Linked DNA regions of Drosophila melanogaster. The gene in region 1 interacts genetically with each later gene. Each region holds a gene or a part of one and is shown on either strand. Other genes may lie near its edges.

Region 1 (8,218 bases):
GATCTGGAGGAGAATGCCGATCCGGATGCACATGAGCATATGTCGCCCGTCGTCACCATGCCCATGCGCCATATATCTGCCACCAGTACGCGTTGCCTGCGCCACGAGGAGTCCTTTGAGTCATCCAGCACGGCGCCCGAACTGAGTCCGCAGGCGCAGAGGCAACAGCGCTTCAGTAGTCTGCTCCTGCGTGACAGCTCCGTATCCGTGCAGTCGGACTCGAGTCGATATTCCAGCGTGGACAGCTTGCTGGAGGCACGCAAGCCAGATCCCGAGGCCATACTCATCAACCTGGGCTTTGGACCGCTCAGCTCCGAGGATATGCTGTCGCGGATACCGCGGAGGTTTCTGAAGCCCTCGCAAGTGCCTGGCATCGATACGGATGCCTTTGTGCAAAGACTGACTCTGGCGCGATCCCTGGCCGATTCGAGTGTTCTGGGCTATAGGGGTCTAACCGGAAATCCGGACATGCCGCCCTCCTCAATTGTGGCCAGCATTATGAAGCGATTCGAGGTCAATCATCATAGGAAAAACTCCATGGGCTCCATTAAGCCCAGCATACAATAGAGCCCTTTGAATTCTTAGCCATACAACATAAGATAGTCAGCCAAATAGAGGACTTTCGCTTACGTTAATTGTTGCCAAGCGGGGTTATGGGTGACCTTTGACCTGTGACCCATGTGATCATCTTGTCTTGTCCATTAGTCATTACAAGTGCCGCGTACTTAGCTGTTTAACTGTACTATTGTATTATTATCAACTATTGTGAACTTGTTTTAAGCATGTATTAAAGATGATATTTTATGAGACATTTTAAGCATTTGGCGTTTCTGTTTCTTATATTTATGATTATGGTTTTATTCTAAGGCGGCAGGTTTAAAGGCCTACAATTTACATAAAACATGAGCAGATTGCGGTCTGCAGCAGATGTTTATTTACAAAACAAAACAATAGCTTAAGCATTCCAGTTTCAAAAGATACGTACGAATCGATTGAGAATGTTCACGTTTCCAAGAAAATAAACCAGAAGTTTCCATTTCAAACACAATACGCAATAATTGCCGTTCAGTTAAGGGGACTTTGTAACTGGTCAAAAGTTACACAGAGTATTTAATTAAGCAGAGCTTTCCCGCGTTATATAATTAGCACCAATAAAAACATTTAAGGTAAACAAGATTTCAAGAGTATTTCAAGTATTATTTGAGTTCGCTTCCAAGAAATCGCCGTTTCTCCAAACTCTCGACTTCAAAATGCGAAATGTGCGTCACAATTCATTTTCGATGATTGTTTATGTACATATGTATGTACATACATATATTGTAGTTGAACAAATCTATTTGCGATATAAGTACATATTTACATACATCTTAGTACACCCGAAGTTCACAGACACACATTCATGGTGTTGGCATTGTTTGTGATTTTTTTGTTTTTCTTCTTATCTAAAGTCGGTTTCTGAGCGAAGTTTTATTAATAGCCAAATGACTTGGCATCTTGAGTCGCTTGCCCCAAGCGGGGGAAACAATAAATATGTACTTAAATGTACATAAATCGGGTACAGCTGGGAATTGAAAGACCCATAAGGGATTACAAAGTCTGCGGCACTCGGATCGCTTATTGATTTCAATTGCCCGCAATTGTTTACATTCACAAGTCAAGATTCAAATTCAAGACGTGCTAACCACGGGAGCAGGGCATGCAAAAATATTGTTTGCTCCACATGTGTATTATTATTATTATTATTATTGGGCCCTAACCCCTCTCGCTGACCCGCTTATTCGGATGCCAAACAAATATGGTATAGCCGCCTGATAACCGATAATGGCATTTGCGCACATTTGTAACACCTTCAAGGCGACGCACGGTTCACAAGGAATTTCTAATACGTCCGCATACAGCTACGGACAGACGTATAGGTTAAGTTAGGGAATATCGATGATATTTATAATTCATTTGAATAACCTTTTTTTTTCCAGCAAACCGTTTTGTTAAAAGTTAGTGTGAAGGATAATTTTATAGTTACAACACTATCGTTTAAAAAACTTTTAGATCTTTTTTCAGTTCTACTTGTTGGTTTCCTTGAAACTGTTGTATTTTGCCGAAAGAGATTTTAGTTATGGGTGCAGAAAAGTATGCACTAAAAATATAGCTCAAAATTCTAATCAGAACTGCTTATGTTAAAAGCCATCATTATTCTTTATAGACTAAAATAATATTTGTAACCTATAATCTTTTTTTTTGAGATTTTTATAAACAAAGAAGATATTGAAAACATTTACCACTTAACATTCCATTCCTGCAGGTGTTTTACAATAATATAAATTTTGTTTTTAAAGAGTGTTTTTTAGCCTGCAGAGCTAACATTTATAGATTATCATGTCATGCGGCGTTAATTATGAGTTTTTTAAGAAGATTTGTATATCGGTCATTTATGGTTTAGCCCCTATTATTTTGGCCGCGACTGTTACTATGCATACATGGATATATGGATGTACATACTTACATACGTGAGTGCTCGCGCTTTGGGCATATCCAATAGATAACGGTTCTAGGTCTGTTCATCGGCACATGACTCGCTTTAAATTAATTAAAATTAATTCCCAAAGCAAACCACAGAACAAGCAAAGAATAAGGGGTGGAAAAGCGAAGAAAGCCACTTGCGAAACTGTGGGTGTGAATATTAGAAGACTGACAGAGAAGGCGAATAGCACAGTTATGCGAGAACCATACCGCACTCCTCGCACTCATTCAAAATTTGCAAGTTCAAGGCGGATAACAAAAAAAAAGCACAGAAAGAGTAGCGACAGATGCAATGTGCATACACATATATGTAAATGCGTATGTACATATGTTAGTACACGGGCAGACCAAGAATAAAATAATTGAGGACTACGCCGGAAGAATGTGAAAGAAAATTAGCAAACCAAAACGGCAAGAGAGCTGTTTTTGCAAGAGCAAGAAATAGGAAAAGAACCGAACAACTGCTATCGGCAATTTGAAATGTGTGTCAGGGCGTAAAGTTCTGCAAACGATTTGATTAATTTATGTGACTTAGGGGGCGTATGATTAATTAGCCTGTGTCGCTTACCAATTACTAAATATAAAATCACTAACACAGTAAGCCACAAATATTTCGATCTCACAGAAATTTGGCGCCTTTTGCTTTAAAATATCGGTAACAGCTGATGGCAGGGCTGGCAGCACTAGTGCAATCGATAGATCGATATGTTGGCGTCACGCGTTAGGTCATTTCATACATGCACACAAGTAAAGCATCGAAATGCTGTTGAATTAATTTGTTTTTTGTTTAGTTTACTTTCAAACCTCGCCGATCGTACTTAATTAGCACCTTATATTTGCGACGTGTCGAATTGCCTAACTTATTTTGTTACTCTTTTGCTTGCCTGTTTTTCCGTGCACCATGGCAGACGTACTTAAATCCGCAGGAGAAATCGCTAGCCAAAAATCATGTCTGTGTGGACCACGGCCAACAATTCGGGCCTAGAGACGCCAACAAAGTCGCCGATCACGTCGTCGGTTCCGCGGGCAGCGAGAAGTTCTGCAGTGATCACCACTGGAAATCACCAGCAGCACCACTTCCAGCACGTTGTGGCCGCCGCCGTTGCAGCCGCCACTTCAGTGGCCACCGGTCATCAGTTCCAGCAACAGTTCCCGCTGCACGCACATCCGCATCCACAGCACCACAGCAACAGTCCCACGGGTAGCGGCAGCAACAGCAACAACAGCGCAGGTTTCCAGCGCACCAGCATCAGCAACTCGCTGCTGCAGTTCCCGCCGCCCCCGCCCCCTTCCTCACAGAACCAGGCGAAGGTAAGTCCAATAACAAATCAATTCCCCAATCTCCTATCTCTGTCTACCAGAACTTTCCCCACTCCCACGACCCCAATCTTAAAGCGATGCTATGGAAGCTGCTCTCTCGCAACTCTCTCTATCTCTCTGTTTCCACCTTCTCCACTCACTATCTCTCTCACACGCTGACAATGGGCGCATTCAGCAGTTTAATCACGGCTCTGTGATCATGTAAGCTGTGATCGGTGATCGGTCACGAGATTTATATCATATAAAATGTAGATCGACTTTTAAGATTATTTAGTAAAAATTCAGAAGGAATTTCAATCATGAAACTTATTTACCGTACTCATGCCATTAATTAGTTTACTTTTTAATATTCTCTTTTGTGTGATTACCGTTAGAAAATTTCCCAATCAAAATAAAGCGAAGAAAGCGCAATGACATTTGCTGAGTGGGCTGCCAGATTTAATATGTACATTCTACATAATTTAGCTGAAGCTATATTTAGGTGTCTAAAAACGATATAAAAAGGACATAAACTAATTTGTTGTACAACAAGTATTATTTGTTAGTCAGTTGGCCGAAATGAGAATGCCAATATTTGGTATAAAAACTTTCAAGTTTGCTGTCTGTCGATAGTGATTGAAAACAATAAACTTTTATTAAAATTAGTTATTTGAAACACGGTCGATTAACATTTTTCAGTGAGTAAGTCGGATATATATTTATATATTTTACGAATCCTCGTATATTTGCGAAAATATGTTCTTCCGAAAACGGTGATAAATAAATCGGACTTCTAATCGCTGAGTCCCATTATAAATCACGTATTACTCATATCCCCGAATTCGCGAGACTCTGCTGAATGCGCCCGTTTGATTAAGCCACGCAATCTGACACATAAACACGGCCTACGTTTCAAGTCGAACCAGATCACACAGACACTCGAAAGTACACACACAACGCAACGCACATGCATACGTATAAATCACAGGTATGACGACTGAGTTAACTGCCAAACCTGCTGAATTATTGAACAGTGTTGTTTTTGGCGAACAGCACTGACAATGAAATTGCAAATGGTCATGGAAATATTGTAGAACCCGGCGTCTAATTGGCTCCAAGAGTTGTACGTTTCTCTTATCGCGTCTGCTGTTCTTTTGTTTGTTCGCTATTTTTTATTTTGTTTTATTTAACCGGCGATAATAAATACACGCACCCACCCATCGAGCTGCAAAGAAATGGAGGTGCTTCTTGGGTCGGCGTCTCTGAAATCCAGGTGTGTGTTTGCATACGAATTTTGCCAGTGAAAATGAAACAACAACCGCCAGCTGACACCTTCTGTTTTTTGTGCTGCTTTATCGGCTGGGACTTATGTCTTATGTATTTTTACTCACATTTTTTAAGTGGTTACATTTTGTTTATTCTGGAGGAAACGCAAGCAAACTGGTTCCATTTGACAGGCCAAGTTATTATTAACATTAGCCAGATTCGTATTTGTTTATGGCCAAAAAAGGAAGGCACTTTCCATCTCGATGGATTCAGTTGTATCGACTTGTTTGGTTTCCCTGCGATCAGCTATATTAAATTTTAGTTTAATAATTTTTTGTACATTTGTGTTGGTTTTCAATTTCAACAGCATGATCCTCGTGCCATATGTTTTCCATAAAAATGCGATAAAAGATAGAGAAAACAATTGTGTTTATTTGTTCAATAGTTTTTCGACGTTTCAAAAGAGTATGCAAAAACTGCTGCTTGGACCATAGAACTTGTATTAAAAGTTTAGAGAATAGTAATTCTTGTATAAATTCCCACAAAAACTAAGTTGCTGTTGATTACTTTGTCAACTTTATCTGTAAAAAAAAAGCTATTCATATGTACCATCCGCCTTATTTGGGATGCAGTTCCTCCTCCTGCTTCTTCTGACCTCATCTGCGTATTCAAATGAAGGGAAGAAGGGGCTTCAGAGGAACCTCTACGTAACGGACAATTATCACCAGAATGTGGTGTCTATACGAACGCGCAAACACATTCGCCATTGGGGTGATAACCACTTCTGTGCCGGCTCTCTGCTCTCCGCCTGGTGGGTCGTCACCTCCGGCTGTTGTGTGAGCACCAGGCCGGAGAGCACCCCAAACCAGCCGAGTAATCGCAAGAATCTAAGGGTTGTCGTCTTCACGCCCAAGCGATTGAAAAAGCCATCTCCCAAGAACATATACCACGTGCAGAAGATTGTGTTGGACGAGTCCGCCATAAGTGGGTGCACAGAATTGGCTCTGCTGAAGCTGGATCGCGGCGTTACTGGCCAAAGGTTTGCCATGATGCTGCCGGAAAAGGAGTTGAATAGCACTTGGCTTTGCAACTCTCTCGGATGGGGCAGGATTTACTACGTAAGTTATGTATATATATCTGCGATGTGCCCCGCATTCAGCATGGTGTATGATAACCCAGTTACTTGGTTCCAGGACGGACCCTACTCAAGCGAGCTTATTCAAATCAGAGCTCAAAAGATTTCGGAGTATGAGTGCAAGCCTGACTGCAGCAGATGCCTGTGCATGACTAGCTATACGGGCAGGGGCAATATGTGCCAGCAGGACTTGGGCAGTCCACTCTTTTGCGATCACTTCCTGTACGGCGTGGCGCGTCGGGTGCACACCTGCGATGATGAGGGCTTCATGTTTTACACCAATATCTATCAAAACCGCAAATTTATCGAGGACACCTTGAGTGGCGCAACCTGGCCAAAAAGAGTCCTATGTTTTCGTCTACTTCTACTTCTACTGGTGTTAGCGTCGCTTTCGGTAGTTTCATCTGATTGAATATGATATTTCAAACAGGAAAGCACAGGATACATTCTACATATTTAAAGGACTATATACAGTAGATCTCAAAATATCTATAATGAAGTACTGACTCATTTTTTTTTAAATAGTTTCTGACTTCAGTTTAATAATGTCAATAAGCGGTGTTACCACCTACTCGTACTCTTGTCGTAGGATATTGACCCACAATATGGTTTTTTAGAGCATTGTGTCCGTGAATTCGAGTGACTTTTCGTCTGTGAATTGGATCTTGATTGAATCTCGATAGTTGAAGTTCAGGGTCGTCGTGTGTGCGTGTGTTTAATCACTCGATTTGTCTTCCCCATTCATCAGTTTGATGATCGCTGATCGATTGCCAAAAGTAGCAGCAGACACTAGCCCCTAGCCCTTACCAACCGCCCCGTTTCCCCTTCTCACCCACTCACCTTGTTACTTTTTGTTTTCCTGTAGTTTTGGTTTCGCCTCTTTCGATTCTTTTACTGTCTGGTAGCTAGCTCTCTTTCCGTTTCTATTCCTTACCCACTCTCTCTTTAAACGCTTTCATTGAAATGGTTGTTTTGTACAGTGCAACTTCACTAACCCGAACTTTTGCTAGTCCTACTGAATAACTATAATTAAAAAAAAATCTTACCAATGAAAATTAGTATATTATTAGAAGCATTTTTTTTTAAATTACAAAATTATTTTTAAAGTAGTTTATATTTGTTGTATCTTTTGGCGTATTTCGTTGTTTTCTTTTAATTTTCGGTAAATGTATCTATATTTCTTCTGTCGTAGATTGTTATGTTTTTATATAAGTTCGTTGCTTGGGAGGCTTTACTGTCATAGTTCGATTGCCATTATAGTAGCTGTTGTTGTTTTTTGTGTCATCGCAGGCAGGCCGCACCGTTCAAATTGATTGTCGAATTTGAATATACGTCGTCGTCGCCGCCGCTCACCGCCGGTGCTTACCGCTCTGGGCAGAGCCGCCGTATCAGTTAGTTGTTAACTTGCCATCGCCGAAGGAACAAGAGGCGCTAAAAGCGAAACGCGGACGCTGAAATGAAATCGAATCGAATGTGCACCGCGCACCTGAATTAAATTCGTGGCGAAAAGGCAAGAATTACTATTCGATTCGTCGTTTTTCTTGCGTGGCTCTTATTTTTTTTTTTGTCTTGCGGAAGTGTCGCCAGCATCCGCGACTGTTTTCCGTTTCAGTTCCTAGCTTTTCGTGCTTTCCTCTCAGCTAGCAGTCGTTAGGGTACAACTCTTGGCTTCGGTCATATGAAAAAAAAATTTATATAAAAAACAAAAAACATGTGAAAAAGTCGGCAACAAGTGCCTGCGAAAAACTGTTTTATTGACACACGTATTTTACATTTTATAAGAACCATAAATGTGTGTTTATAAATAAAAAGTAAATATTTCAACGCACCCAAAAAGACAGAGAGATAGCGGTGAAGAGAGTGAGAGAAGAGGGTCACAAATTTTCAGCGTGCGTGTATGTGTGTGTGTGTGGATAATTGTTGATCAATTGTCATGTGCAAAAAAATAAAAACAATAACACCCAGCGAAAATCATTCAGCATCATCAATGGGAGGAAG
Region 2 (8,027 bases), 3.0 Mb from region 1:
AAATCAATAAATTCAAAGAGATCTACTTGATTTAAAATTGTACATACTTGATTTGAAGTTGTATGTTTTCAAGTAGTTTGCATTTAATCAAATTCCAAGTTGAAGTTTCCCCAAAATATGCTGTAAATACTTCGATGTTAACTTTTATGAGCTGCTTGTCGGCGAAGAGGAATTCATGCATCTCATTTGGGGTTTTAGTGCAGCTCCCCGAGGGGCAAACCCTGCCCATTTTCCATTTCCCACTCCTCGGCCACCTGGAGAAGCGTGTCAGCATTGGGGATCCTCTGGAGAACCACAAAAACGCGAACCCACTCCTCGCTCTCAAGTAGTAGAGAAATTGTGGAATGAGCTGCGACACATTTACTAGATTAATTAGCTCATTTACGGTTGACAATGTCCGTGTTAATTCCCCAAGAATTAAATGATAACATCATACGAAGTGGACGAAAAAGGTGTTCTACGTGTCAATGAAATGGCTTGGCAAATGCTCGATGACACTAATACGTTTGTTTGTAGGGGGTTTTCTCTTCGTTTTTTTTTTTTGTAGGGGTAGTAGTATCTGAAGTGCAGACGATTTGCATAATTCGAAGGACCAGCAAAGGACGCACCCTTCGCTATCCAAACGCCCAGCTAGTTTGAACCACTCACACCTTCCCTGATCATCTTTTCTGCACCCCATCTTTATATGTTCCAACTCCCCCTTTTCCGAATACACAGACGGAAAATATTCATTAGTTATAATAAATTAAGACCAGAACAAAGGAAAATATATTTTAAAATACTAGAATAATGCTTAGAAACTAAAGAACTGCAAGATCTCGCTTGTAAAGGGTTTCCTAGTTTCACTCAAAAAATGTTGCAAAGATCGAAAATCGATCGTGTAAATCATAGGTTATATTAAATTTCTCTCAGTGCACTTAGGCACAAATATAATTTGACTTCATTATGCGAACAGTTGTTGCCTTTAGTTTTGGTAATTTATTTCAATTTTTTCAGTCCTCCGTTGCTCGAGACTGCCGTGGGCAGTAAGGGGTTAATGCTCCTGCAGTGCAACCCCTGTAATAAATAAATATCTAGGTCCTGCAAATGTTCATTTAACTGAAGTATGTGTGTGTCTGTGTGTGTGTGTGGGGAAAATGTCTCAAATGTTTTGCTGCCGCTGCCATTGTTGCAATTGTAATTTGTTTTTATTGTCGCTTGTTGTTTGAAGAATGAGTATTCCGGGTGTGGCCATAAAGATGATTCTCTTTAGTCACATCAAAAATGTTGCTAGGCTAGAAAAGAACTAGCCTATCACAACATGGATGCCAGCATTCCTAATTAATTTTTGTGAAATTTTCAAATCTCATCGGACCCCCAAAAAGAATGTGGAAGGAAGAAGCTGGCAGCAGGACTAAGGAAATCCCGAGGGGGCGACCTTTTTGGCCTTTTTGGTCTCAGTGTCGGCCACAAACAAGCTGGCTAACAAACAAAAACAAACAAGAAAACTGGTAGCAGAATAACGGTACCGGTCTTGGGCGTGTTTCGATACTGGACATCTGCACTTTTGGTCAGACATTTTGGAAAACAAGGATATTGACATATTATCTTCGTCTCATTCTCAAAGGTTTCTCCGTAAACTTAACAGCCAATCCCATTCGCAATCCACTCGAAACTTCAGTTTTGTGGTCCTGCTCTAAAGGACATAACCATGCATATAAATTTGATTATTATTAAGTCGGGCACATTAGTGAGCATTTCTAATGAATGGAATCGAGTCGAGCAGATCCTTGTGCCCGAAAAAAGGGTCAGCCCACAGACACACACCCAACCACCGTCACATACGAGCTTGTTAAAGCCAATTTATAAATACTCAGGTTTATGGTTTTAAGTACTTAAATATTTAGCACACTTCTTGGCCTCAGACTGTAGCTCTCCCTCTCTCTCTCTCTCTAAGGTTATATACACCTCTCTTTCTCCACGTGTGTGAGGCTTTTATTTATAATTTATGCGTCCGCAGGGCGACACTCATTCGGTTGCGAGTGGGTGTGGGCATGAGTGCACTCATTAAGCAAAGGATGTCCTTAAAGGTAAATGAGCAAATTTAATTTAAGCTTTATTTTTACCATATTTTGGTGAATGGATACAAATGCTCCTTAAGATCTATTAATAATATATATCTTCTGATATATGCACCATTTTTGTAATACAATAGTAAGTATCACTCATGATTAATAACCGAAACATCTTTTCCCCAATTAGGTAACACAAAATGAGCAAATTCAATCGCGCTAAGTGCTATATAGACCAATTTCCTCTTTTCAACCGCCCCCAATTCAAATTTTTGAAGAACATTATGCGCTGCCATCGAAGTGACCTGATTAATGAAGCCATTTCGATTCCGTTGTTCAGCTTAGCGATTTCAATTATCGGACATGTTAGGCGGGGTTGCACTTACCAGGGGGGGTGGCTGGTTGCATGGGCGGTGCAGACGACCGCCGATTAGCACGTGCCACTCGTTCCGAGCAAAATCGCAGGAAGCTAACCAAAACGCAAGGACACGTGGCAGGAGCGCAGCTTCCAAAGATAAACATAATTATGCAATACGAGGGGGAATAGCAACGGAAAGTTGGCCAATCTGATAACACGCAACGAGATTTGTCATCATCAAACAAAGTGGGCGTGAAAATTGCGGATGAAAAGCAGCCAGGGGTTCTGATCGGCAGGAAGGAAGCGACGATGTAAGGATGCAAAAAGGACACGACGCAATGCTTCCTGCCCGGATGCAATCATGTCCGAGGCGTGTGCGCGAAATATCCTTTGTTTGCGTTTCCCAGGACTCGGAAAAGCGGTACGACAGTAAAGCAGTCGGAAATAATTGCACAGCAGTCAGGATAATAAAGATACTCGCGGTCCAAGTACATTATCGAAATTGATACGCCAGCTATACTATCTGGCGCATATGCTAGTCGAAGTAGCTATATATCCTGAGGGGGCGGAGTAGGCTGGCTATTCCAATTCGCGATTCAGGTCGCGTTTGTTCGCCACCAACCTCAATGCATTTCACTTTGTCGTTGACTATCCACATACACTGCGATAAAATAGCACATCTATTCTGTGGATAAGTTTTCTTTAGAGTAACAAGTTACCTATAAAAGAGTCCTTTAAACACATTCTTACTTAATCCCTTAACCTAAGCAAACTAGGAAATTAGCTAATTATTTTCCAGTGTAACTTCAATTTGTCTGACCATCACGTAGTTCATCAGGCAGCCTTCTTTCAGCCTTTTGTCCTTGTTTCGCATTAAAGTTTCATTTGGCCGAGGCCACTTGGCATGCGGCAGCGTCACTTTTGACCTGGCTGAAAGGATACTAATCATAGCACTGCCTCCATGAGCAACGTTCTCGGCACATCCTCATCAGGCTGATTGCGAAAAATCACTGGAGAAATCAAGCGAGGTTCGTGATTCCATACTGACATATTTGGTGAAGTGGATTTGGAGTGGTTTTCCCAACCCACACATTCAAGTGACAATCACAGTCAAATTTTTTCGACTCTTTTGTGTATTTTTAGGCGAAAAAACAGAAAAACCATGAAAATCAATTTCGCTTGAGGGAGGTTGAAGCTAAAAAGCATATTGTCATTTGGTCAACCCACACCAACATATCTGAAACATTAAACAGATTTGGCCTTCCGATTTGGTTATATTATTTCCTTCAGCTGTTTCAATAATTCATATTTTTCGCTGATCCCCAGAGAGATGCAGGAAAATTATTAACGAAGGCCAAAGAAAATCAAATTGAACTTTATTTGCTCTTTAAATAGTTGGTTTTATATGTTTTAAGTTGAGTGTCGATAGCAGGGAAGTGGTAAAAATTTAAACAAAATAGTTGGCCGTAAATCAGACGGAAAGTGAGGCCAGTTTTGGCACTTTGGCCAGGATCTAATACCCATGTCCTGTTTGGCGATGAAAAAGGGGGCGGTGCTTCGTGTCCCAAGTCGGCTGTCAAACATAATCACCTTGCACCCCCCCCCCCCCCTCTCCATCCCAGAAGTTCTATTCTCAAAGGAAATTTATGTTTTTTATATGGACGGCGGAGCAGAGACAAAAGTCTGTGTGTGAATGAAATATATTATTTTGCTTTTTACCCGCCCTGCTCTTTCATTTTTTAACACATTTTGTAATTTCAACACGTTGCCACGTACCGCAAAAGTTTCTTCCACTCCAAAATGTCCACCAATTGCAATGCCGCCTGTCCACCACTCGGACTCGGACTTGGATCTGGACTCGGATGATTAATGGTTCCGGGTATTCCGGGACAGGCTCCGAGTTGGCTGGGCCAAATAATAAATCGTTCAAATCGGCTGGGGATTATTTTTCCTAGTAGGCGGCGGTCAGCATTTTGCTCTGTCACCATTTTTGCGAGAAAAAGAATGGAATTTTTCCTTGACTTTTTCGTATTCAATATTTGTACATATTTTTGCCAACGAACGTGTGCGAAATTCAAAAATACTTCTGCACAACAAATGGCAACAAATTTGTGGATTTCAATTAGATTAATATAAATCTAAGGAATTGAATTTTTTCATGTGTTCAAAAGAAAAAAAACGGAATTAAGGTGGTAGATTGGCTTAAGTAGTGCGTGAAAAATTGGTAATATTTTACTGAAAAAAGTACATATGTCTATTTAATTGTACTTGTTAGAAATACCCTACTTCTATCAGCAAAACGTGCAAAATGTGTATATGCAATATAATTTGTGTTGCACAACTTGTCTTCAATTATTTCTTGATTGATCAAAGCCTTAGATTTATTTTAGGCAATTAAAAACAATAATCCCCAAATAACCGGTTAATTGAAAGGATTTCCTGGAATATACATATATGATAATGTAAAATTAAATAACAAAATTTGTTTTCATTTCGTCGAGCAAGATCAATCGAAAATCCCATCAAAACCAGTTTTGTTTCAAACAGATGGAGCGGTAAAACCGAGCGAGGCATAATATTATTAAAATTCACAAAATATTATAATTAGTGGACGCATGCCAGCCATTAAACAAATGAGTATATATAGTTTAGCTTTATGATCGGCAATGTATGTATAATGCATAATATTTCTCTGAAACTCCGTTTGTTAGGTGTTGGCCACGTTGTAATCAGGTTATTGCCCCAAGCCCAAGAGAAGAAGTTCGAGAAGTTCTTTATTGCCAAAAACACGAATCGGGTCAAAAGCAGAGCTCAAGGCGCAGACTGGGTACAAAAAAAGTACAATAAGAAAAAGCGAGGGCACTTGGCCAATTTACACGAGCTGGCCAAAACAGTTTGGCGTTCGAATATATAATGCGAAATACAAATAAAGTGAAAACAAACAGAACAGAAATTCCCCGTTGGCGCTTCGCTGCTTCGTCATGTGTTTATTTCCCATAATCATTAACTTTTTGGGTGGATTTATATGTGAGATAAACTCTGCTGCAGAGAGGGGAAATTAACTGAGAGATGTGATAGTATTTAACCTTATGAATCATTGAGCCTAACTTTACGTTTATGAGCCACAGCCAGAGGTTTTAAGAAACTTTAAATGCCTGCCTCTTGTTTTTTTTTCTGTATTTGTTTATTGTTCAGTCTACCTACCGGTGGAGTTATTTGCCCAACTCTTCTGCCTGTTTGACGGCTTCTGCTTGTTCTTCCAGCTTTAGATGATAATGATGTAGATGGTTCGCACTGCGTCAGCATTCGAAATTTCCATATATAAGCGCTAGGGAGCCGCACCGCGAGCTTAGTCGTTTTGGAACTTTTCACGCGTTCGCTGCCTCAGTCTTTCGTTTCGTCTTTGTGAGTGCTTAACCGCAGATAGGCCCCTCTGCATACCCCTAACCGCTGAATTAACCCTACTAAGTGACGAAGTGTGTGTTCTTACAGATCCATACCGCTTCACAATGAAGTACGCTGTGATTGCCATCGCTTTGTTTGCGATTACTACCGCTTCGGCCTCTTCCGGTGAGCAAAAAAGCAAATTTGAGTATAATTTGAGGAGAGCTTAAGCCGGATTGTGCACTTACATCATCGCTAGTCGGAGCTGCTATCGTGTTTATTATTAATTGAATTAACAAGTCGGTCGACGGGTGCTAGTATGTTAATAATACCCAAAAACCTATCGAACCCATCCGGAAACCCAAACTGGTTTGTGAAATTCGCGTAGCTCATTAACTTTGCGACAATGTTTGTCCAGCAAAACTTTCCGCACAACAAATTCGCTTTTTATTACGATTCCTAAAATATGGCTATTCAAAATCAGCATTACGTTTGATTATTCACGCGATCGCTGAGTGGACAAACTTTCACACTCAAAAAAGAAATTGCCATTGTTGAATGTTTGAGATTTATAAGCATACTTTTGGGATTAGCATTATCATAAAAAACTTGGAATAAATCTGCATGGTATATATGCTAAGTATATGTAATTATTCAAAGGTTTTCATAATATTAAAAATAAATTCAATAGTAAAAGTTCATAAAATATTTAATCGTGGTAAATAAGGGCGAGATGTGAACGAAATCTAAGCTTTAAAGCTATATTCATAGATTTCAGATACTTATCGCTGAATTCATTGCTCTTTATTCATACAGCTGGCCAGTTTCTGCCCCGTGCCTTCTTCACCTTGGACTCGGAGGGCCACCAGTCGAATGTCCATCCCGTGAATGCCCATCTCCTGAGGCGTCTGCGTCGTCAGTCCAGTTCGTCTTCCTCGTCATCATCCTCCTCGTCCTCCAGTGGAGGAAACGTCTTCACCTACGCCTCACACAGCGTTCAGAATGCCGATGGCTCCGGTCATTCTGGCTCCTCTTACACCCAGCAGGCCGCTGCTCCAGTGCTTGGGTGAGTTAACTGGAAAATGAGGACTTCTATTGATGATCACTAATGATCGTTTTAATTTCCAGTGGTGTGTCCTTTGATGAGCGTTTCGGCGAGAGCTCCTTAACTGGAGGCGACAACTATTATCCCACCTACAATGGCTACACCAGCGCAGCCTCCATCAGCAGCAACAGCGGAGTAGGAAGCACCGGTAGCTATCAGCACATCTCCGGAGTTGGACCCATTCCCGCCACCCAAATCCAGCAGACCGTGGCCGTTGTCGATGCCAGTGGCAACCAGAAGGTGACCAACATCCAGGGTGCCACCGATTCCAACGGCGTTCTCAATATCAAGAAGACCGAATCCACTTACTCATCCAAATAGAACATAGGTTTTTTTTCGAGTGTAAACTTTAATAAATTACAGTAAATTAACTGACACGGTGCCTTCTTAACAGGATATTTGTTATGAACTCAGAAATAAGAGCTCGCAAAGAACTTTGCTTTTTTCGCTTGCCATTTGGTTTGTGGGATTAATTGCTTCCAATTGGGCGCACTGCCACGCCCCTTGCAGATGTCGCAGTGTATTCATTGCGGTTTCCGCATCTGAAGTGTTCTTTTTTTGTTTTGCCCACTCTAGATGATTGCATCCCACATACCATATCTTAAAAGTTCCATCCTGTAACCTGCATCTGCATCCTATATCCTTCATCCTCTTTCACTTCGCAGCAAAAAGTGATGGATGTTTCGAATGAACCAGGGGCGTACCAGGGTTTCGGTTCAAGGGGATCAATACGAATATGCACAATGTAGTCAGTAGAGTTAAAGAATCGAAAGAAAATAATTAAAGATGTTGCCTTTTAAAAACCCTTTAACCATCACAAAAGACAAAACAAGTTACAAAACATTAGTAGCACTTCCGAAATGTTTACTTGACTTATAGGAAATTTTCAATAATGTTAGTATATTTCAGAATTTCATTATACCTTTGTTTAGTTTTTTTACTTTCTATAATCTTCAAATATATTATAAATCATCGCAGGTGTTTCGTGACCCCTTTTTATCCTGCGTACGCCACTGTCAGTTGGAAAGAGATGGCGATATGTGCCGAGTGCTTGCACCGATGAGCACAAACAATTGCCGGTGGGCGTGTGGGGGTTAATCGGGCGTGTTTCAGGGGGCGTGGCAGGCAG
Region 3 (8,419 bases), on another chromosome or scaffold:
GTCCAATGGGCGTGGGCTTCTGCTTGGGATGGCATCCCACAGCGACAGAGACGCTCATGATAAATGTGGCATAATATGGGAAATGTGATGGATGGAAAGCAAAGATAATCAAAATGGCAAGCCAACAAGTTTGCCGGCAAAAAGAGTTTCAGCTTTAAGTGACGAAGTCTCACACTGAAAGGTGCATTGCACTTTAAGTGCCGAAGTGCTCTTCGTCATTAGGATTTTATGGACACCTTTTTGTGCATAACAGCGATAATTTATTGCACAAGAATCCAGTTTTGTGATTTCCTTCATTGTACATGAGTACAGTGCGATGAAATCACTTATTTCATTTGAATGGTTCTTTACATTTGTACCCAGTTTGTAATATTATATATTTTTATTTAGAATAAGTGACAAATAAGTACCGATAATACTTTAATGTTGCCAAATAGTAGACAATATTGTAAATCACTTAGCTCAACTAAAGACCATCAATAATTAAAAAGATAATTATGATTATAAATCTTAGCTTTCTAATAACCAAACCCCTACAAACTCCTTCTATATATCATTCTGCAAACCTGGTTCATAACAACAAAACGCATTTAAAGTAATATTGTATAATTATAGTTCAATTTGCACATTTAAGCACTCTTTCGCTCTAAGAGCTCCAGTTGGTTAGCTCATGGATATTGGATTCTGCTGGCGCATTACCGCTTGTCATCATCCCATTTCCGAATCATTTCCCCTTAAATTATGGAAATGAATCGAACCAGGTCGGGTTAAACACAGATACGAGTATGTGAGCAGCTTCAAGCGATGGAGGAATGGTCGGAAATGAGCAGGTAATTGCATTTGGCCACCGACTTACCCGATTCTCGATGAGCTTGTCGCACACATTGAAGACCGTCTTGATGGGATTCTTGTCCATGCGGATGGTTTTGTCGTAGTAGGTGACCTTCCGCGGCACATACTGCTGATCGAAGTTGAGGTGCTGCGGTTGGATGGGAAAGCGTGATTATCGCATTCGGATTAGTGGAGCATCCAGTTAGTCAATGGGCTTGCCTTTATTGTGGTGCTAAAGTGCTCCTCGCTGTCGGAATTGCTCAGTACGCCGCCAATGTTGTACGTCGAGGGATTATCCGAGGCAGTGTGCCTCTGGGCGGCATCAATTGGCGCCACCAGGAGAACAATGGCGAGCCCAAACAATGGCCGGCAAAAAACAAACTCAGCCATAGCCATGATGCGGAAGTCTATAGTTTCTGGGGGAGGATAAACGAGGTGTTTTGTGCAACGATTTCAATGGTTTCTCGAGCAAACATCCAGCATTTTCTGCAAGTCGAAAAGGGGAGATGCCGCATATTAATGGCATTTTCCATTTCCCATTGCAGCAATGAGAATGGTCAAAGACAAGATTTCTTAAAGTTTATTTTGCTCATTTTTGAAAAAGCAGAACTTTGAATTCGCGGTGTTTTCTTACATATGTGGTAATGCCAGATCGCGAAAAAATGAATACCAACGCAAGATCGTTAGAGTGACCATTTCATTGTGTTAATAGGCATTAGAAGCAAAATCTAAGTATGTGAGTCGATGAGTGGAAAGATTTTAATCCTCGGCCAATCTATCAACATTGATCTGGAATTTTCAAGCACAGATGACTAAAAAACTATGAATATTTGAATAAGATTCAAATCTCTACCCTGTGCTGCCATGCTAACTAGTATTTAGAGTATGTTAGTATTTTATCCATGCGCTCCCATCTAATTTATCATATGGTTGGTTCTGCGGTTTTCAAACACTTGCTTATGTCATTCCTTGTCAATAGTAAATGCAATTAACGTGTTACTGTCAATAATTCTATATATGTGTGCATAAAACAGTTAAGATGTCAATTACACCATTTATTAACGGCTAACTAGTATTTTTCGCGCGGTCACACTAATCGATCATATGGTTCGACGGTTTTTAAACACTTGTTGCTCGACCGCGCTTTCAGTCGGACGTGTTTTCGCTGGGGTTTTCCGCGTCGGTCCGCCTTATCTGCGCTGCGCTGGCACTTCGTTGGAGTGAGGGAGACGGAGGAGCTGAGCGGTACGGTACACGAAGTCGCGCATGACGCGGCGCTCTGGAAAATTGCATTTTCATACGCCTTGAGCGCGTAATTTATGCCCGAAATGCTGGCCAATTTCAATTTGTTGGCCTAAACGCGACGTGCGTGTGTGGGTGTGTGTGCGTGATTGGGAAAAGTGCGTAGAAATCGACAATCGTTTTGTTTGCCCGCGCTGCTGCTGCGCTGCGACTGCGCTGCTTGTGGGTGGTCAACGGGATCGTGGGGTCGGGAGAGCCGATTGTTGACGTTGTATCGCATGCTGCCTCTCTTTCCCGCAGCCGGAATTGTTTGTCGCGTGTTTTAACGGTTATTTCTTATTGACAAAACCTCCTCTGCCGACGTCGCTGCCCCGGCATTGTTATTGTTATTGTGTGTGGTTTCTGGGCCTTCTTCTTCCTCCTCACCGTATTCCCACTTATTGTTATTCTCTCTTTTCCGCGGCTAAGTGCGGCCCACTCAAGGTGAAAATATATTAAGTTCTTTCGAGTGCCCGCGAGTGTTTGCATTTGAATAAAATAAATATAAAGTCAAATTCGATTTACGATCGTCGTCTATCGACGGATGATTCAATACCAATCACAATACAGTAGCACATCTCTACAAGGGATATTTTACATTACATACATTCTACGGTGAGTATCCCACGACAACGACAACGACAACCTGTTGCCAATCGAGCCCAGTTACTGGTTTTTCTGGTTTCCCGAAGGGCTTGCCACCAATTTAAGTAGGTCATAAGGCAATAAGCCTATCACGACCGAACCGATAGGCTAATTACCGCGATAGCTATTATCTAGCAGTCACGCCCTCGCCTTTTGATCCCACTTGATTTTGATTTCGTTCTTGCCTCTTGCTTTCGCTCAATAATTGACAATAAGCCAAAGCGAAAGGGCCAGAAATGCGCTGAGATTCAATTACGTTGCAGTGGCCACTATTTGTTGCTTACACGAATAGAAAAGCTAAGGAAAAAACATATAAATCCCACTGATTGAAGACATTTGCTTATCGGGGGTATGGTTCTATGCCAGCTACTCAAACAAAATATAAATAAATCCTTAGGGAATCAACTCCGAAGTCAAGTGTTGATTTCAACTCAAGCCACTATGTATATGAACGTGATGCTTTCCAAAATTGTTTTGTGGTGAGAGGGATTGTTTGTTGTTATACAAAAATTCTTCAAATGGGAGTGTTTAAGAATTATAATGACGAAGTAACATAGTCATAATTAAAACTCGTATTTACTCGTAGAGTGAAAGGGTATACCGGATACATATATTATTGATCAGATCGAGATTTCGGGATCTATAAAATCTAGATGTGCAAGTTTAATTCACAACGTCCGCGCCCACTCTAACGCCCACAAACCGTTCAAAACAGTCACGCCCACAGTTTCGAGAAAAGTTTGGATTTTTTTAATCCTAATATTTCTTTGTCAGTTCCTAAAGTTATGCAAATCACTTTTGGAAATTTCTCACTTGACGTCCTCTGAACTGAATGCATCTGCGTTCGAGAAAATCAACTTAGCGCCGATATTTTCTCTCAGTGCACACATCTTGATTGCAGACAGCGGAAAAGAGAGAGAGAGCGAAAGGGAGAGAGAGAAAGAGAGATGCTGACTGGGCGACGCGTGCTTAATTAAGCGCCACATTGTTGTTGGTGTTGACTGGGCAGGTGGCGAGCTATAGAGTAAGAGGCAAGATGAGGGATACCAAAAAAGATGGGGGAGGGGGATGAAAAGTGGACGTGTTGAGCCTGCTGCACGCGATGATTTCCATTACCTGGGGTAAAAAAATGGCTTTTCATCGCCAAATTCCTCTCTGGCCAAGTTTTTTTGTTGCGATTGAAAGAGCGCACTTCACTACTTCTTGATTTGCATGTAATCATGATTGGGTTAATGGGCCTATGATCACACAATTACGATCAATTATATTCACATTATAATGTCGAACAAATTACTAAATTATACAATCAATGGGACCAATAGATAGTATGTGCAGTGAGTTTCATTTATTGAAGATAACCAGTCAATTGAGATGTCATTTGCGGGTACTTTGATCAACCGGCTAGAAAATGTACATATATATTCTAATTTTTAAACGCTAGTTCGGTATAGTATTAAAATTTTTTTGATTATTATGTTTTTGTGCAATTATATATGTATATTTAAAAAAAAAAGTTGGAACTTGACAACTATTTTCTCTTTAACCACGATTCAGATGTCATCAATTTTAATATAAAGAGTTAAAAAATTCACAATTTGTTTTTGTTATTCTCTCAGAATCCCTCAACTGTAGTTGATAATTCTCCAAAAGTTGTCGTATAATTGCATTTGACATACTGATAACGTTTGTGCATGATTTTTAATCAATAAATTTTACCAACCAGCCAAATTTGTTCAGTTTTGCCACTTGTCACCATTTAAACAAACTGACCACAAAGATATTACATTAAATAAATAAAACACATTGAAGATTCTCAGGTATGCTTATTTTTTTGACCACAATCGTGTGTTTGCTCCAATTTATGTGGGCTTGCCATGAGCATGTGCATAATTCGAAGCTGAATTGAGCAGCTGGTGGGGATTTTGTGGAAGGGGGGGCGGTAAAGTGGCCGGGGTTGGCGCCTGGGAGCGCCAGCAATTAACATAAACAGGCAAATTGTGTAAGCGACATTCTGGAGCTGCAAATAAAATATAAGCGCCCGCCCCCCGCCCATCCGATGTGCACAGCCCACTTGGCTGCAATTATTAAGGGTGTGTGTGTGTTTGTTCGGATGCGGAGGTCGGGTGTTATCAATGAAGCAGACTGGATGAGAAGCAAAGTGTTCTCATCAGCGCCAGTCTGGTGTGATTGTGTGAGTATCTGTGTGCTTCACGTTTTTTCTGCTCAGGTGGGCCGAGGTCTCTTGGCTTTTCAATTGCTTTGAGCCACCAGACAGGGCCCAGACTTTTAATGAATGGCCAAATTGTTGAAAGGCGCGCTCAGCACATGTGCCCTGCATTACTCATTACTCATGTTAAATGGTTCTTAAAGGATTCTCACTTCACTCTCACTTCGCCGTCCGTCTGATCTCATATTCTATTAATCCCCATAAATATTTGATCAACCCCCACAGTTTCAAAGCTCCCAGCATCCAGATGGACGAACAGCGCACCGAATTTCCCCAAGGAAAGCTGTTACTCTCACTCACTCTGTTTTGTTAAGGGCAGCAAAATTCCCAAATGAAACGTATCGAACAAACATTCAATATATACTATCAACTATACTATGTACATATAAAAAACGTGGTATATATGTCATCAGACATGGGTTATACTTTCGACAAGTTTTCTTATGAATTTCACACTTCGATTTGCTCGCCATTCGAATTTTCGCATGTCCATTAATACGCCAGTTAATGAACTTTGAGTTGAGGGGTTAGGGTATTCGCGATTTGACGTCTCTATGGGAAAGCAGTATAAATTCTACATAAATAGTATAATGCAAGATTACTTCTATAAATCAACGAATAAAATTGGGAGTAACAAGCCACTTGAAATCGTGCCGAACTAATGTAAATAGAAAATATTTAGCATAATATAAGCACGCAAGATATTTCAATTCTTTCAATTGAAAGGGCATTCCAACGTCGGCAGAGCCCTTGGAGAATTTCCCTCGTGAGTTTTTGTTCAACTATTTAACATAGCGAACGTGCCGGCCATGGCATTTTATTCAATTTTCGTGTTAGTGCAGCGTATGCGGGGATTGCAGATTGCGGGCTCCATTGAATGTGGCGCTGGTGCATGGAGCTGATGATAGAGGAGCGAAGGAGGGCTATGGAGCAGTGGGTGGAACCGCGGGCGGTGGCTTCGCCGGCTTCAGCGTAATTCGAACTGACAGGCTGACAACAATGAGAGCATCATGCTCAACGGCGGCTCGCATTTGATGATGCCTCGCTGAAATATTTGCAGTGGTTTTCGAATCTGGGATCCAGCCGCACAGGCACACAGGTAGCGATTCCAAGCAGCAATAGTTGCCAATGAACAACCAATGCAACCGCAAGAGGGGTTCAGATTGTTTGACTCCGCCGTAAAGCGGTTAGAGCTCAATTGGGGCAATATCAGGTCGCCGGGCGGATGTCCGGTAATTTCTCCCGCTGGCCAATTCAAGATAATTTAATATGGCCTCCGTAGACGGGAATTGTTTTATGTGCGATCCGGAAAGCAGGCTAGCAGGCAGGCAGAGGACTCTCCAAGGACTCGACCGCAGACAAAAGCTTTGACAAAAGGACCCGAAACTTTGAACCAAACTCTGTCGCCCTTCAACCGACTCGTTCCCTCGCACTCACGCCCTGTTGCTGTGACCTTTATCCCTTTTGCTCCTGCCCATGCCAATCCCGTCCTGCCACTTTCCCCATTCACTGTTCATTGTTGTCCAGCCGTGTGTGTGCGGCTCAGCCGGGAAAGCATTCTAAGCCAATAACCAAGTCGACGATGTCCCTCCTCCGCCTGACTCGCAGCTCCGACATTCGTGGTGCTTTGTGGGCGATTCCCATTTTCCATTTTATATTTTGTGTACATTGCCGCATCTCTCCGTAGGCAATTTTCGGGGGCATTTTTCACACACGAATTGCGAAACAGATGTACGTATTCCGCCTTGCTCCACTGGATCCCAATCCGTCGGCTAGATGACAGTCCGGACATGAGGCGAGGTGGGAGCATGGCGGGTTTGGGCCATTCTGTGCATGATTTCAAGCATTGCACATTGATGTGGCTCACTGCCCCGAAGTTTCCCATTCGGTTTATTGTTGCTTAAGTGCCTAATGCCCAAAAATTCGATGGGCTTGAAAAACTATTTAGATTTAGGTAGGTCAAACAAAGGAAAGGATTCGAGAATTATTTTTGTTTGCTCAACGGAATATTCGTATCCTCTGAGGATTAGATGTATATCCTGTATATCCATTGTACTGATTATATATGTACCTGTGTTTAGCATACATATGTATATCGTATGTCTTATACTAGATAATCCTATGGTAACCAATTACCATATTAAATATTAATTAGGAGACACTTGCACACGTGTATTTATAACTCATCCACTAATTGACCTACACGGAAAATAGTATATTTAAAATGAGTACAAAGTCAATCCTTAGGCAGAATATCTTGAGAAATCTTCAATAAAAAACTGAACAAGTCCAGGGAAAGTGTTGCCTCCGGCTCAGCCATAGTCGTAATCGAGAATGGGATCCCTCTCCGTGGTGGTCACATTGATGTCCTCTATAAGGCGGAGCTGCATCTTATCCACGAGGGGTGCAAAGGCAAACACACTGAGGATGAAAATGAGGAAGCCCGCGATGATGAGCAGGACGCAAACGACGACGGAACACACTATACACTGGGCTGTCTGGACGGAATCCATGACAAAATGGATTGGCGCGACCACGCCTCAATTGACGAACGCCACACTGAAAACTATTTGGGGTCACTTGCGGACTCGGGCATGCCCTGAAACTCATTGCTTTACTTCACCACCGTGGATGTCCTTTCCGCATATCCATTTCTTCAGTCCTTGCCTTCGTCGAGATTTCGGGGCATTTAATCAAGTTATTGGTGGGTGGTTATCGCGAGTTAAGTTATGCAAACACTTTGTGTGCCACTCCTTCGGGATGCTTTGCTTTCTCTATTCTTTTTGCGCGCACATACACTCTCACAGACCCACTCGCACACACACACACAGAGAGGGAACTTTTATCACACGCACACGGTACGAACTTTTATCCCTTTGTTTCCCTGTTTTCACTGACAATTTTTGGTTGTTTTAAACTGTGTCGAACTAGCGGTATTTCCGTAATATCTGTTAATTTTGATTCACTGACAATTTTCGCTCAGAATGAGCTTTCCGTATCGGATTTCACTGGCATCACATCTCGCATACGCACCGTGGCACCAGGCAGCAGGCAGCTAGAGCTGTATTGCCTACTTTTCGACGCCCGCTCAACGCGACGCCTGGCTTTTCCGCTTTTCCTTCCTTGCTTTTCCGGGGCTGTGAAGGACAACGTGGCGCTTTGCGCGTTGCTCGTCTACTAAAAAAATCGTCTGGGCTCCTCCGAAAATTCCTTAACTTTTGTGCTTTAAGCTCCCCGAAGGAGCTTTCCAAGCTGGACCAAAGCTGAGCCACGCCTGCGCTGTGACATGTAAACAACTTCTGCCCGGAGAGCGGCCCTCTCTCTTTGCCTCTCAGCTGTTTGGCGTCGCCCGCGATTTCGGTCAGCTGACTGCCGCCGCACGCAGCGCGGCCGCTGCGCTGCTGCCGCGATGCCAGCGCCGACATTGACGTCTGC
Region 4 (7,998 bases), on another chromosome or scaffold:
AGCTAAAAGAATGGCAAAAAATAAAGGGAGAGAGAGAGACAGCAGGCGAAACGTCAGTGGCAATGTTAGTAACATGCGGAAGTGCATTGCACGCTGTTATTTTCGCTTTCTGTTTTCCCGCTGTTATCGATATCTCGTTATGGGCCGCCGATATTTGAAAAGCATTTCGCAGTCAGCGAAATAGCAATGCTTGTACATTTATCACCAGATATGGCTAGTAACAAATTTTACAGGTAACAGACATTAAATACCGTATATTAAACAAAATATTTAAATTTTCAAACAAAAAATTGTTGAATATTAGTGCCACTTTTGCTATTGAAACGGGCTTTCTCCGCTGAATCTTCTGTCAGCTGTTCTTTTATTTGCACTTTCATACCAATACACTGAAAAATAAAGAGCAGAGACGTGGCAGAATGCAAAAAGGAAAGCAGCAGTGCCCGAAAAAACCAAATAGACCAAAAAAAAGAAAAGTGGGTGGTGTACAGGCATTCCGAGAGTTTCTCAGGTGGGTGGTGCGAATATGCCTATGTATGTGTCCGTGGTCCCATCTTTATGTGCTCTTATGTACAGCTAGTGCCGTGCATTTATGTATTGGCTGTGCTTGTGTGTGTGTGTGTGTGACGAAATGTTGACAACAACAACAACATGCTGCAGCGACAAGGTGAGGACCATGTGTGCGTCTGTGGTAGTGCTGCGATTAAGTCCTACACTGACAAAAAAAGGGTGACACCATGCTATTGAATCAAATCGAATCCACAAATATATTCTGAGCTGTAGTCCAAGGTACAATAAGGCTCTAAATTAAAAAAAAAAACCCTTGAGTTAGGGTCATTGAGTTGCTTTCAATATGAATTGAATACAAACTGCCTGGGCGATTTGTTTTGGTGTGTGCGCCATAGAAGAGCAGCTCAGAAGTGGGTGTAATAAAGGGGTGGGGTGGTGAACAAGGGTTGGGTGGCTACCATACCACATCTTCCCCCAACAAACTCCACACCCCCCCCCCCCCCCAACGCCCATCACAGAAACACACACACACACAACCACATCTTTGCATTATCCCAACAATTTTACCCATTTTCCTCCCAATTTCTCTGTTTCTCTTATTCTCTCTTCACCCATCCGCCGATGCTAATTTATTTTCGCTTTTTTCCACATTTTCATACCTCCTCTTGCGCTTCAAAGCGGCACAAAGCCAAGAAAGAAGTGCAAAAAAGAAAACATTAAGGGGCAAAAACTTCGGAAAAGCATCTGCAACAACAACTGCATCTGCATGTGCATCTCGACGAAACAAGAAAAGTTCCAAAGTGCAATAACCGTTTGCCATTAACCCTTCGACGGCCCCAGGGGCCAGCCCATTGACAGCCAATCGCGGCGATCTATGCGACGTCATACACAGCGAGAATTTGGGGGGCGAATAAGGGGGCCAACTCAATAATGGCGAACCAAATTGAAAAGAAGCAAAATAGCCCAGGCATTACATAAAAAATAACATACTTTGTATTTGTTCATATAAATAAATAAATATAAATTCTACAATATCATTCGCACTTACCCGCACTCCAGTAATTCGAGACTCCAGAAGCTCGAGTTTCCGCGGATTTAGTGAAGTTTGAAATTGATCCATTACTTTGTGATTATAAGCGCCGATAGGAATTTGTTTTTTTTTTTGTTTTCGATTCAGATACAAAAGTTTTTCTGAAATTTTTCTTTTAGCTCGTGGTTGGTTTAGTTATTCAATATTTTAATATTGATCGATTGCAAATGTCGGCAACGAGTGCGACAAGATTTGTCAGAGCCATGGCAATAATAAAGTGACAAATTCATCTGAAAAAATTAATAAATAACAATTTAATATCACTAATTTGCCACATGCATATTTTTAGCACGCACTGTGTGGCTTATATAAAGGCCCCTATCTAAAGGCATTTCATCTTATCAACGTTTTTGTTTTGCTCATAGCAGCAAACAAGAAATTACCAAATATGTATTGTATTATCAATTGAGTTTCAGTGAAATAATTGTGTGTGCTATAATTGAATGCAAGCAGAGGTTTTGCCAAAACCTGGCCATGTTTAGGTATTTCATTAAAAACACGCTCATAAACTACACTTGTATAATTGAAAAACTTGGCATCCTTTTAAATGCAATACGCTTTTATTGGGAAATTTCTCAATATGATTTAAACAACATTTCAGCCCGCCTAAGGGTTAATGTTCCAAGATGAAATCCCAATAGGTTTTAGTTCGAATCTTTCCCTTTTCCGTCTTCTTCTTGGCGCTTTTGTTGTTGCCCTGCCTGCGCTTTAGAGATCGGCATCTCGAATCTCCAATTGGAGTGAGGTTTTTTGTTATTTTCCTTTTGCACTCGGCGAGAAAATGCAGGGCAAAGAGCGAGTCTGATAGCGGGAAGGAGCAAAATGAACGACCCAACAACTAGCCGTACTAATTGGCATACACACATGCCACGCCTCCAACTGCTCCTAAGTGCACACACACACACACACACACACATACACACATGTGCATAAGTTTTTTTGAATTGTTACCGGTGCCAATTTGTTTTTGCGAGTGTATTTATTTGAATTTACTTTTATTCGCGTGAATATGTGTGAGTGCGAGAGAATTAAATCGCCGGCTGAGATAAAATAAAAGTCACTACAACAATAACAACAATGCTATTCACTCGCCTCTCGCTCGCACACGCTTCGCTTTTCGTTTGCTTTGCTTTGCGTTGCCTTTTTTTTCCGTTGTTTCCCCCCCACCCCTCTCCGTTTTTGCACACAACGCTGCGAGGTTAAGTTTGCGATTTTAGGAATTGTACGATTTCTACGGCTTTTCCGACATCGACATCACATTTAGAGGAACGAGAGGTGTTTACCATGCCATTTGGTGTGGCGAGCATATATCTTCCGCTTCCGATCGGATCGGCGATTGTCTTAAACTTTCAGAGGCTGCAACTATAGCTTTTTGTTGTTCTTTTTTTTTTTTCTTTCGCTTTTGTTTCTTTGGGATTTGGGTTTGTGGCGTGGCACTGTCGGCACGACACTTAAGGGTTAAGGTTAAGGGCCAATCGCCATGATTCCCAAATGTGTTTACTTCGGTTTTCCACAGCCGATTTTTGTCTATTTTCACAGTAAAAAAAATATTCACAATATTCACACGAACGCACACACGCAGAAATGGCCTAAAAATATACTGTAAGTTGGTGTAAAAAAAATACCGAAACGAGTGTGCAAAGAAGCCATCTGGCGGAACGATGAGTGCGCTTAACATGCACAGTTGTGTCTGTTAAAGTAGCAGTTTAGCGGTCACTTGTTACTTAGCGTGTGCACCAACCATAGTTATCGGATACTTAAACCGCTCGCCAGCGAGTGCACAACTCGCTCGCTCGCCTATCGAGTACATCAACCAGCAAAGCGAGTACACCCACCAGCCTTAGCGATCACACCCACCTCAATATAAGACGGAACTTATTGGTATTTTTGTGTTATTCTTAGTGATGCTTGTGCTTGGTATAATTGATCGATGGCAGAGCGGTCACATTGGTGCACCTCTGTGGTATTTTTCCACTTTCACACTAGTTTCTTTCAAGCAAGCAAAACCAACGGAACTTTAATTGCGGTGTGCGGCGAACGAGAAGAGAAACCGAAAAGCAGCCAATTTACTGTTGCGTTCCGATCCTGTTAATTCATCAGTTGCCGATTCTCCGATCGCGCCTGTAACTTTTTTGTTTAGTTTAGTGCATCAAGTGCGAGATAACACAGCAAAGCAACAACAAACGAAGCGACAGGCCAAAGCGGACGCGCAAAATACAATAAAAAGGAAGGAAGAAAACGAAGTACGCAAAAAGGAGGAAAGAGAAGCAAAAGCATTTACAGCTAAAGCATTATAGAGTGATTACGCATATTTCGTATGTTGTTCTTCATGATGTCTGCCGTGTGGAAAGATTCTTTCTTTTTATCTGGGTGTATACACCGATGAAATCCCAGAAAGGAATATACACAGGGGTTTTTTGTTTCATAAACAAAATTTGTAAAAGCCGCCAAAAGGCGCCGCTGCCGGCGTTGCAGTCGACGTCGAAGAAAGTGGATGTGTGTGTGTGTGTGTGTATATGTGTGTGAGCAAAGCAAGAGGTGAAAAAAAAACTCAGCAGTGAAATCTTTCTGCTGCTATTTGCTTTGTTGAATATTTAAATGTAAACTAAATAAAAGGTATTGCGCTTGGCATTTTTGTGTGTGTGCTCCATTCAGCAAAATAAAGGAAAGGAGCGGACTGATGAGCACACGGAGAGCGAGAGATAGAGAGAGAGAGAGAAAGAAAAGGAGAAGGGCGGCGAGAGCCTTTTATCAACGGCTATCAGCAGAAATATTTGTTGCCGCACCCCGCTTGACCTTATTCTCTCTCGCTCTCGCTGCCGCTCTCTCCTGCTTTATCGCCCTCTCTTTTTGCGGGGTGTGCAAGGTGCAGTCGCCGCCCGCATTTTGCGCGTTGACTCATACACACAAACACACACACACAAGCAAGCACGCACACGCCCCCATCGCCCCTTTGCTTTTTAAACTTCTCTTTATCCCAATTCCGCTTTGGGATCTCGTTTACGCCGCTCTAAATAACATTTGCCGAATTTTCCCAAGTATTAGTAATAATTTAACATTATACAAATATTATTTAACCAACAGTTAAATACAGTTGAGTTTTTTTTTAAATGACAAGTTTATTAAGCACATTTCTTCATTAATCACATATTTCGAATTTCTAAGAACCTTCTTTGGCACTCGAAAATTGTCGTTTGAAATGCAAGAAAATTCGCAGAAACGGTGTCTGGTTTTAATCTCTGTTATTTTGTGAGATCGCTTTTGATGGCATTCGCTCTGTGGCGTTATTTTCTCACAGTGACCCGTTTTCCGCTACCATCTTTCCCTTTCCCCATTTCTCATTATCTCCACGAACGTGCCGATTTTCGGGTTCTGTTGCTAATCGGAGAACCATTTTGACATTAGCGTTAGATCATCATGATGGTGATCGTTAGTTAATCCGCTTCAACTTTATGCGCATCTGAATGTTCCATCTTTTTATCCAACACGCCTAAAGCAAATGAGGAAAACTGAAAAACGTGACACAGAAAAATGGTTTTACAGTTTCTAATTAGGCTCAAGTTCAAGATCAATTTGAGTGCCAGCTTGTTTTATATTGAATAATTTCATTTATCTATGACTCACTTAATCGTATGTGTTGACCCCTTTCCCCCTTTCACCAACATTTCCTAATTATTTGTTTGTTTGTTTGGTTGCCAAGGGGCGTTAAAAGCTCTCACCAATTGAACGAAATGCGAACGGGGGGAAGTGAATAGCTGAAGTATGTCAAAAAAAAATGCGTTCTCAGTTCCTTTAAAACTGAGTGCTTAAATAATCAATAACTGCTCTTTGTGTAGTTTGCCTTATTATTTACAAAATGCGAAACCAGTTTTGATTTCAGATCGGTCTGTAGAATATGAGCCATTCATATTCCAGAGAAATTTAATCGTTATCAAAAGTGTAAACAAAATCTTACATTATTTGCAAGATATAGCCGAGCAATTTGTTAGCTGTTTCACCTCTGACCTTTTCAAATATAATTCTCTGGCAGGCGAGAATAGATTAACAATAGAGTTGAAAACACTGACTCATAATCTTCACGATCTTTCGCAGTGACACAGTTTTTGGTATATATGTAGTTTTCTCATCTTTTGTTCGGCATCTCCGGCATGTTTGCTAACTTGGCCAGAAGGGAGAAGATAGCGCAAGTCGGCCAACTTAGCCTAATTTATAGCCATCAAGCTGTGATTTGCTCTAATTTCACTTCTAATGGAGTTTTGTCAAGGGAGACAAATCACGGAAATGGGTTCTATTTCTATGTTTCTTCTAGGCCAAGTCCATTATGGCCAACATTAAAGTTTGTTTTCTACGAATAATAATGTTGGCCTAATGCAAAAGTTATACACACTTGATGATAATTGTCCATAATGGCCAAATATGTCTGCCGAATGTCTTCAAAATACGTTTTATATACCTGATTATCAATGAATTGTGCATTAAATACGTGTAATGACTTTGTTATTTTCCAATTAAATGATTAATCGCCCGTTACCAACGATCTACGATATCCGTTTGTAAAGCATTTAACATTTGAAAATCTTGAGATTTCTTCCAACAAACGATTCTTGACAAAGTCGCGCGCGCAATCACATATTTGTTAGCTGACTTTAGTTTGTTACATCATCGTATCAGCATCTCCAAAGTTCTCTCAACACATTTGCCTTATACAGGTTTTATTTGTTTTATGCCCAGGCTCTCAAGTGTTTCCCCATGGCTTTTGTTGTTGCTCCATCGCATTTCAAGATCTTTTATCACAGCTGACTATGCCTAGGTTTTAATTATGCTCTCCTCGCTTCAGAAAACACTTCCCACGCATTGTTCGTACATATATGTACCTATTTTTCATATACCACTCGGTGTGAAATAAGTTTTTAGTTTTTTTTTTTTTTTTTTTTTTAGGTATCGCTATCTGCAAAGGCAGATCAAACTTGCTCGGCCAAATAAAAACACTTTGTAAATGAGTCTGAGCCACGCAGTTCGCTTGACAAGTTTTCCTCGGCTTGTCCAAAGAAAGTTGTAACAAATGTACATCAAATGAACAAGTTTTACCCAACACTTTCTCAGGCTAACAAATACTCTGCAGTTTCTGGCAGGGGTAAGTGAAAATGTATAAAAGTTCAAAGTGTCAGGGCCGCAGAAACCAGTCGCATATCACGAGAATAACGCTGAGAAAGTATGAGAAAGTATCTAGAAATATTTTCAGTCTTATCAATACTGTTTGCTTTTCAATACTATACTGATTAATATCAACTGATCAACACTATATCGATCCGAATAAATATATTTGGGCATTTAAGTCCTTGAAATGCAAGAATTTTTATAAATGTTTGTATTATGCTTACTATGCAACTTCATTTAAAACATATTTGCCTGTCAACTTGACATTGACAGCGTTGCACGCGACTGCGCAGCGGCGTTGAAATCGTCGATTAAATGCCACAGATTTAAATAATTATGCATTATGACTCATCTGGAAAATATTGCATTCCAATGTCGATGCCTTTCGTTCCACGTTTTATACATATATGCATATGCATGGGTTTTTGTGTCAGTGTGATTTGCCCTAATCGCAAAAGTGCATTGAACTGATCTAACGGCGGAATGGCAGCCATCTCCTCAATGAAGTAAGAAAAGTTCACTCGCTGGGATTTCTTTTCTGCTTGATTAATGCACTCTGTGCTCCGTTGTTGTGTGCTCTTCTACTCTTCCAACAACCATCTCAGTCAGACCTGCATTTAATGATGTACAAAAAAAAGCACAGAAAAAAAAAAAAAATTTAGAATAAAAAGACTGAAACACAAAATTCCCACACAAAGTCATAGAAGTTGCGATGACAAGTTGGGGAAAACAGACAGAGACAATAATATGCGTGGATTTCGCTTCTTTTTTTTTCGCACATGTGGCGGTTTATTGAACTTAATCTTGTGCGGAAGTTACACAAAATCACGCCTCTTCGCTTTGCAGAATGCAGCACAAAAAGTGTAAATGAATTGAAATACAAGAGATAAAAGCGGCGACAAGGAAAAGCGCTGCACTTGGTTGCAAATTCCGCCAATGGCGCATCAAAACACATAAAAAAAGGGGCAACAAACTTGGCAGAAAATAGGGGGCGTGGCTAATTTACATATATAGGTTTTTTGGTTTTTTTTTTTTAATATTTTTAGGTTTGAGGCCATAAAAGCGTTCCAGCGTTTCCCATAAACATTTTCAGCGCTCTATAAATACGGCAAGTTGTTTTAATGCACATGAAGAAAAAAACGGAAAATTTTAATATTTAAATTGTATGCCCAAATAGGATGAATAATTGTTCGTTTTTTTTATAATTATTATTAGTGTGGTTTTAATGCACATGAAGAAAAAAC

The links.
Region 2: of Orai (region 1) and kn, changing one suppresses a phenotype caused by changing the other (phenotypic suppression), as found in Drosophila melanogaster (one study listed by BioGRID).
Region 3: of Orai (region 1) and Itpr, changing one suppresses a phenotype caused by changing the other (phenotypic suppression), as found in Drosophila melanogaster (one study listed by BioGRID).
Region 4: of Orai (region 1) and Rala, changing one suppresses a phenotype caused by changing the other (phenotypic suppression), as found in Drosophila melanogaster (one study listed by BioGRID).

The regions. Positions count from the first base shown.
Region 1 is NT_033778.4:17,847,630-17,855,847, forward strand, and holds the start of Orai (orai), read left to right. Parts: upstream 1-3,232; 5' UTR 3,233-3,468; coding exon of another isoform or gene 3,469-3,831; intron 3,832-5,665; exon of another isoform or gene 5,666-5,711; coding exon of another isoform or gene 5,712-6,632; exon of another isoform or gene 6,633-6,667; intron 6,668-7,510; 5' UTR 7,511-8,218. Other genes in the region: olf186-M, read left to right, coding at 1-567; CG30323 (uncharacterized protein), read left to right, coding at 5,712-6,632. UniProt on the Drosophila melanogaster protein: Pore-forming subunit of inward rectifying Ca(2+) release-activated Ca(2+) (CRAC) channels.
Region 2 is NT_033778.4:14,802,665-14,810,691, forward strand, and holds the start of kn (knot), read right to left. Parts: upstream 4,398-8,027; coding exon 4,186-4,397; intron 1-4,185. Other genes in the region: hui (hase und igel), read left to right, coding at 5,919-5,979, 6,610-6,859, 6,922-7,219. UniProt on the Drosophila melanogaster protein: May act as a 'second-level regulator' of head patterning. Required for establishment of the PS(-1)/PS0 parasegmental border and formation of the intercalary segment.
Region 3 is NT_033777.3:5,515,162-5,523,580, forward strand, and holds the start of Itpr (inositol 1,4,5,-trisphosphate receptor), read left to right. Parts: upstream 1-1,955; 5' UTR 1,956-2,727; intron 2,728-7,137; exon of another isoform or gene 7,138-7,296; coding exon of another isoform or gene 7,297-7,497; exon of another isoform or gene 7,498-7,959; intron 7,960-8,017; exon of another isoform or gene 8,018-8,167; intron 8,168-8,419. Other genes in the region: Nmdar1 (NMDA receptor 1), read right to left, coding at 857-979, 1,051-1,227; CG43845 (uncharacterized protein), read right to left, coding at 7,297-7,497. UniProt on the Drosophila melanogaster protein: Receptor for inositol 1,4,5-trisphosphate, a second messenger that mediates the release of intracellular calcium. Together with MCU, has a role in oxidative stress-induced ER-mitochondria calcium transfer.
Region 4 is NC_004354.4:3,715,205-3,723,202, reverse strand, and holds the start of Rala (Ras-like protein A), read left to right. Parts: upstream 1-3,567; 5' UTR 3,568-3,840; intron 3,841-6,535; exon of another isoform or gene 6,536-6,731; intron 6,732-7,998.